Rattus norvegicus: one gene and its partner. The protein of the gene in region 2 purifies or fractionates together with the protein of the main gene of each other region. This does not show direct contact. Links are inferred from orthologs where the notes say so. Each region holds a gene or a part of one and is shown on either strand. Other genes may lie near its edges.

Region 1 (3,746 bases), on a different chromosome or scaffold from region 2:
CAAGTGCTCTACCACTGAGCTAAATCCCCAACCCCTCTCTCTCCTTTTTTTTTTTCTTCTTTTTTTCGGAGCTGAGGACTGAACCCAGGGCCTTGCGCTTGCTAGGCAAGCGCCCTACCACTGAGCTAAATCCCCAACCCCTCGTTTCTTCTCAAATGAAATTGGAGATACTATACCTACCTGGGTTTGTAGGATATTGTAACATGGACTCCTAAAGCTACTTTGAAAATTGTAAAGCACTGTATAAACAGATAAGATTATTATAGTCTCTCCAGCCTATAATAAAAACTTAAGGCTAACATCAGATACTTTCTATATTATAGGCATTGTGCTTAGCACATATGTCTCATCCAATCTTTAAAACAACTTTAAGAGGTCGAATACTGTTATTATTCCCATTTTATAGACAAGAGATGTCTCAGGGAAAGGAAGCCTGTGATTTATCCAAAGTCAGGCAGTGAACTAATACTAGATTCCAAAGGCCATACTCATGAAAAGTGGATAATAGATGTGGAACCGGTTAGCAGTGGTGTAAATGATCGACTTTGTATAACTGTCAGATGTGCATGGACAGTTTAAACTCTGGCAGAAGTTGTTGGATAATGACTGATTCATAAGATAAAAGAAATCATTGGATTTTTATTCTAATTTACTAAAGAAAAAAACAGCCTGATTCGTGGCTCATGTCTGTAAATCCCAGCATTCAGGACATCAGAGGCAGGAGAATCACAAGGAGTGCCAGGTTGGCTAGCTTCGGGGTGGGGGAGAGTGGTGGAGAGAAGGGGGAGTGGAGAGAATGAATTACACTTAGTTTCTCCTATATGCCAGTTCCGCATAGCCTCAAAGTGGGGACTGCTTGACATGGTATGTGTGTTTCTATTTGACTTAGTGTGTGTCTCTGCTTGTATGTGTTTGTGCCACTTTCCCTCCGCCTGGATCTCCTGCTTAGGCTGCGTTTTGCTAACTTCCCCACTTTTTGGCGTGTGGTCTAGTCGAGCAGAGCTCTTATCTAGACAGTGGTGCCGCTCCCTTTCTGGTTGCCCTTAGCTTTGCTGGACAGCAGATAGGGAGCGACCATGCAACCACCTCCCGCGCGTGGGCGAACCAGCAACGACTCCTTTCCGCCTCCCGCGGTCTTCCCGCACAAAGTGACGGCGCTGCCCCGCCCACCTCCGCGCGTCACAGAACAATCCTTAAACTATAATTCCCAGAGGGCCATGCGGTGGCGCGCGCTCACTCACTCCGAACTACACGTCCCAAAATGCATCACGCGACCGCGTCTCCTACTACCGCGCAAGAGCGGAACCGCCTTTGCTTTCCGGCTAGTATTTAGGTGAGCGTCGTTCATGGTTGGGAAAGTGCTGAGGTCCTGTACCGAGGTTTCTGTAACGCTTATCTAGATCCAGAGGCTCTACAGGTAAGGCTTAAGGACCCCAATTACCTCTGAGAGATTCCGGCAGGTTTTGATGTTGGAGCTAACTGTGATAAATACTGGACTCAGAATTGTGGTTCAGAAATAGTAATTTACATTTCTTTGGTAGTTTCTAGTTTAATATTTTGTTTTTCCAACTGTGGTCCTTGTTATCCCCGGCACTGTACTCTTAACGGTAGGACGTGTAAATGCCCATCGTATAGCAGCTGGGGAGTTGGTTTTGGTATTAAATGGTTGGATTATAGTAACTACTAGTAGCCCCAGAGCTGGACATGCAACTGTTTTCTGATTCTGAACCCAGTGTCCCATTCTTTGCTTACGATTTAGAGGCTTGTTTCTTATTGGCTAAGGGAGTTGGAGGAGAATGGCCATGTGTTACTTTCTTTTCAATAGTGATGGAGGACTATGCAATTCGAATCTCCTGTTAATTACATCTGTAGGTAGTTTTCTTTTTATGTCCTAGTCATTCATTCACTCTGTATTTTGTTGAGGTGCGCTACTCTTCTACTTACTAGAGGCAGAGGAGCAAACAAAAATATCTCTACCTTCTGGATGTGGGGAGACAGGCTGTAAATCGTGAGTCTGGAGGCAATAAGAACTGTGCAGAAAAAGATAAAGGGACTAAACCATTGGAAGATTTTTGAATAGTGATTTGATCTAATATTTAATTTGGGTTCTAGGCACAGCAGCTCAACAGAAAAGATGAGTGAGGAATCCAATGATGACAAGAAGCCAACGACCAAGTTTGAACTAGAGCGAGAAACAGAGCTTCGATTTGAGGTGGAGGCATCTCAGTCAGTTCAGTTGGAGTTGCTGGCTGGCATGGCAGAGATCTTTGGCACAGAACTGACCAGAAACAAGAAATTCACCTTTGATGCTGGTGCCAAGGTGGCTGTTTTCACTTGGCATGGCTGTTCTCTGCAGTTGAGTGGCCGGACCGAGGTGGCTTATGTCTCTAAGGACACCCCTATGTTGCTTTACCTTAACACTCATACAGCCTTGGAGCAGATGCGGAGGCAGGCAGAAAAGGAAGAAGAGAGAGGCCCCCGAGTGATGGTTGTGGGTCCTACTGATGTGGGCAAGTCCACGGTGTGCCGGCTGCTACTCAACTACGCAGTGCGTTTGGGCCGACGTCCTACTTACGTGGAGTTGGATGTAGGGCAGGGCTCTGTGTCCATTCCTGGTACCATGGGGGCCCTGTACATTGAGCGACCCGCAGATGTGGAAGAAGGTTTCTCCATCCAGGCACCTCTTGTGTATCATTTTGGCTCCACCACTCCTGGCACCAACATCAAGCTTTACAACAAGGTCAGGGAGCTAAGAGGGGGTGGAGGGAAAAGTTACAGTCAGGGTATGAAGTAGGGAACTTTGTTACTTAAAACTGCACAATTTTCTCTCTGAATGTAATTGTTCTATTTTTATTTTTTTTGTGTGATAGTCCACTTGATTTCATGAGAGACCATTTTAAAAGTGTGAGCTTTACACTGCTAAGCATTCGATGACACTGCTCAGAGTAATTCATTATTAAGAGGTAAAACGGCAAGCAGGGGGTGTGCAGACATGGGTCAGCAATTGAGTCTAACACACACCTTTCATTTCAGCAGAGACAGAGGCAGGTAGATCTCTTGAGTTTGTGGCCAGCCTGGTCTCCATAGTGAGTTCCAGGACAGAGTGAGACTGTGTTGCAAACAAACAAAACGACAAAACCAAAAACAGTACTACTGTCGGGGGTCAGAGTTTTCCTAGCAAGCGCAAGGCCCTGGATTCGGTCCTCAGCTCCGAAAAAAAAAAAAAGACAAAATAACAGAGTTTATTTCCCAGTATCCATGTCATGGTATTCCCAGTTGCCTGTCACTCCAGCTCTAGGATAAAGTTAACTCCATGTTATGGGGTTAAAACCACAGTCATTAAAACCATCAATTTTGATGTTAATATATCAGTGAGTATTGTAGCTGATCCCTATAGGACTTGGAAGGCTAAGATAGGACTTTCAAGAGTGTGAAGCTAGGCTAGAGTCTTGTACTAAAACCCTGTCTCAGAAAAGTAAAAATACCGGAGAGCAGGGGCTAAGGTTGCAGCTCAATTGCCAAGCATACTTCAAGGCTTGTGTTTGGAATCCCAGCCTGTACAGTTTTTGGATGGTACCTATTACTGGAAAGAGAAACTTAGATGGATTTAGGAGCTAGAGAGATGGCTCAGTGGTTAAGACCATTGGCTCTCCTTCCAGAGGCCCCTAGGTTCAAGTCCCAGCACCCACATGGCAGTTCATGACTGACTGCAACTCAAGCTCCACGGGTATCTGACATCCTCACAG
Region 2 (3,731 bases):
AACCATGTAGGTGAGGATGACCATGAATTCCTGGTCCCCCTGCCTCTACTTCCCGAGCGCTGAGATTTGAGGTTGAGTCACCATGCTTGGCTCCCACTTTTAAAAGGAAACCCGTGAATCATAGCAGAGTCACTGTCATTTAAGGGCCAGTTAGGTCCCACCAAATGCCAGTGGGTGTGTGCAGGGACTGAAGCCAGACTGCCCGTGCTGTATTCTACTCTGTGTGTTAGCCTCTGCAGTGCACAAACCAAAATCAGGAAGCTGCTGCATTTTTAACTGTAAAACCTTGGGCAAAAGTCCCCCAGCTTCTGGGCTTTAGTTCATCTATAAAGGGGGAGAAAACCAGCTTCTCACAGCCATGGTTCCCAGAGTGCTTGGGACTGCACCTGGCAGAGTGGCATCACCCATACATACACTGATGACACTGGATGTCATCAGTTACGGGGTGAGTGCCAGCAATGCCATCTTATAGTCAGGGTGACCTTCGGGTCAGTGAGGCCTGTAAAGGGCCCCGTGAATGACAGCGCTGGGTTAAGTGCAGGGTCCTCTTTGTGGGTCCCACTCAGGCACAGTTTGCATCTGTTCACGGTGGTCTAGGTCTGAGTGAGATGCCACACAGCTACCAACCAGGCAGAGAATTACCTAGAAGGGTCCAAGGAAGCTGAAGACCTCTTTATTCTGGGTCTTACAGAGACAAAACAAGTGTAGAACACACACACACACACACACACACACACACACACACACACACACACACGCAAGTTGAATGCAACACGAAGTTGCTGCCCGCTACCTGCCAGCACAAAGCACCACTGAGCCATGGCCCCTGCAAATGTGTATATTCTAAATGACAGATGCTTCACCAGGCAGGTGGGAGATTTGAACCTGCAGCTGTCTACGGTCAGGTCTACACTGAGAGGTTACAGGGAGCTCTCAGGTCACACGCATAACCCCTCACAAAGGACAGAATGCGACTGATGACCTGGGTGCCCTTGCCCTAAAACCAGCATCCACTAGGCAATAGAGAGTTGAGCCTGAGGAGGTGGGTGGCTTTAACATTTCATGACCATTAAAAAGAAATGATGTGGCAGGAGCCCTGCCTGCTCTTTTAGAGGACTCAGGTTCCATTCTCAGCATCCGCATCCACCTGTAGATCCCGTCCCAAGGATCCAGCGCCTTCTTTTTGGCCTCTGTGGGCACTGCATGCATATTAAGCATAGACAAGACACACAGGCAGGCAAATACTGGCAAAATGAAGGAGGAGGAGGACGAGGAAGAAGGAAGGAGGAAAAGAAAAAGGAAGAAGGAGGAGGATGAAAAAGGAAGGAGAAGAAGGAAGAGGATGATGATAATGATGATGATAGTGGTAATAACTGAAACACCAAGCTTTGGCCACGGTGTTATGACAGCTTCATGGAACTTCTCTCGAAGCTAGGAACTTCAATAAAGACAGAGGGAAACATGGACCAAGGAAGTAAAGTTAGAACAACTGACAAGTGAGTGTCAAAGATACCCATGCACGGGGATGGAGAGAGGCTTAGTAGTTAAGACACAGGTTCAATTCCCAACATGCACATGGTGGCTTATATCCACCTACAACTCTAGCTGCAGGGGATCAGATAACCAAGCACTCAACTGTCACCTGTCATAGTGCAATACATACATGCAGGTATGTATGTATAGGGTAGAGCAGACCAGAACAGTAGTCTGGAGGACTAAATATATAGGCTTTCACTTGCTTCTTTTCCCAGTGCTGGGGATTGAACCCAGGGCCCCGCTCATTCAAAGAAAATGCTCTATCAAAGGAGCCACAGTCCCAGCCCAGGCACTGCTCTTATCCTCACTGTATAAGTGAGAAGGGACTTGGGGGGCCAGGCTGAATGTATCTGCAAAGATTGTTAAGAAACCTGGCCATGCTTGACATCAAAGCACCACAAAGCACATTTCTGTCCATCAAAAGCAAGGCCCATCCTTTATTTTTCCCCCAACCTGCTAGCCTAATAATCATTTAAAATTTTTGGTTTTGCTGACACTTGATCTTGCTATGTAGCTTTGGCTAGCTTTAAACTCACTATGATCTTTCTGCCCCAGCCTCCCATGTGCTGCGGTTAAAGACATGAACCGTCACACACAATGGTCAACCTAACCCCTTTTATATACTCCTCTAAGTGTCAATCGAAGCACAAACCATACAGGAAAAGGTGGATCCGTATAATTTCCCAACACTCTTGGGATCGGGTGTCAAAGAAGTCTCTCTTATGGCAAAACTCACCCGAGTTCTCTTATCATTTTGTTTGTTTGTTTGTTTGTTTGTTTGTTTGAGATGAGGCCACACGTAGCCCAAGCTGGCTTCAAACTTGATACGTAGCTGAGGATAGCTTTAAAAACAGCTGATACTGTTGCCTCTGCCTCCTGAAGTTGGGATTACAGGTGGGCAGTCGCACGCTTGGTTTGGCGCAGTGCTGGGGACAGAAAAACGCTGCCAACTGAGTCCCGTCCCAGCCCTCGTGGGCTCCTCATCATTTGAAAACACACTTGCATCTGTGTTTCCCCCTGCACAGCTCCAGAGCTGAGGTTCAGGGCTGAGGGCCAAGGCAGACCAGCCTGGGTCTGGGACAGATGGCATCTGTCACTGAGAGCGAAATGCTCGGCAGCCATCAGGAAGCTGTGCTCAGCACGCTTGAGTGACAGCCAGCCCCCACCCCACTCACGCCTGAAGCGGTTCACACGCTGGACACAGAACACTAGAGACCGGCCGGCTCCAGACTTCCCGTCAGTCTTACCTTACCCGGCCACGCGCGCCCACGGTTACCCGGCAACCTGGAGGCGGTACTGTAGCCGTCAAGCAGCGCGGCCGCAAAACCAGCTGCGCGTAGCCGCAAAACGACCGGCTGCGTCCTAGCACAGCACGCTTGCGCACAGCACTTCTGACAGTACCTTCCGCCCCATCCCCCAGCTAAATCTAACGAATAAGGCTAAGGGGCCTTTCCCCCGCCTTAATCCTCATAGCATTCCCACATTTTTCTCTTTACTTTTTTTTTTTTTTTTTTTATGTAGTTCTCACTGTACAGCCTTGGTTTGCTTGGAGCTCACTAGCCCAGACAAGCTCACGGAGTTCAAGATGCCTTTGCATCTCCAGTGCTGGGATTAAAAGTGCTCACTGCCTGGAGGTTCCAACACAAGGTTCATTTTTTTTAGAGATGAGATATGAAGCGACTTGTCCTAAAAGACTGCCCTTGACCTCAGTGTGATAGGAGATTTTATTCAGAGTAATGAACCCTGAATGCTATAAAGGAAGATGTACCCACTGGTGTAATAATGGTGTGAAGGTTCAGAGGCAACCAACATTTAAGTGAGTGGATCTGAGGTCTGTTTGTCGGAGGGAATTCATGCTTGGTGTTGTAAACTTAACCAGAAGCCTGTGTCTCAGGACCAGAAGCCTGTGTCAAAGACCTTAAGGAGAACCCAATTACTATTGTCTTGTTAAATGAAGAGATCCAGCTACTTCCAAATATTTTGGTTATACCCACATACAGATTAGTGCTGCTTTCACCACGTCCAGAGAGGCTTTTCTCTGCAGAGGGCAGTGGTGACTCAGTAACAATCAAAATGCTGACTAGTGACTGCCAAGTGCTCAGTCTTAAGCGGAAATCTCTACATTAACCCTTGCCTGCCCCAGGCTGAGGAAACATTGAGAAGGGAATGGTGCAGAAAGAAGGCCAGAACCAGAG

The links. The genes of interacting proteins can lie anywhere in the genome.
Region 1: the proteins of Tsen2 (region 2) and Clp1 purify together in Homo sapiens (affinity purification with mass spectrometry; 3 studies listed by BioGRID and IntAct, counting the BioPlex papers as one, with this or other methods). This does not show direct contact. The link is inferred for Rattus norvegicus from reciprocal best matches to the Homo sapiens genes TSEN2 and CLP1.

The regions. Positions count from the first base shown.
Region 1 is NC_086021.1:90,214,670-90,218,415, reverse strand, and holds the start of Clp1 (polyribonucleotide 5'-hydroxyl-kinase Clp1), read left to right. Parts: upstream 1-1,250; 5' UTR 1,251-1,333; intron 1,334-2,069; exon of another isoform or gene 2,070-2,112; 5' UTR 2,113-2,134; coding exon 2,135-2,740; exon of another isoform or gene 2,741-2,749; intron 2,750-3,746. UniProt on the Homo sapiens protein: Polynucleotide kinase that can phosphorylate the 5'-hydroxyl groups of double-stranded RNA (dsRNA), single-stranded RNA (ssRNA), double-stranded DNA (dsDNA) and double-stranded DNA:RNA hybrids. dsRNA is phosphorylated more efficiently than dsDNA, and the RNA component of a DNA:RNA hybrid is phosphorylated more efficiently than the DNA component.
Region 2 is NC_086022.1:150,274,570-150,278,300, reverse strand, and holds the start of Tsen2 (tRNA-splicing endonuclease subunit Sen2), read right to left. Parts: upstream 2,820-3,731; 5' UTR 2,784-2,819; exon of another isoform or gene 2,273-2,783; intron 1-2,272.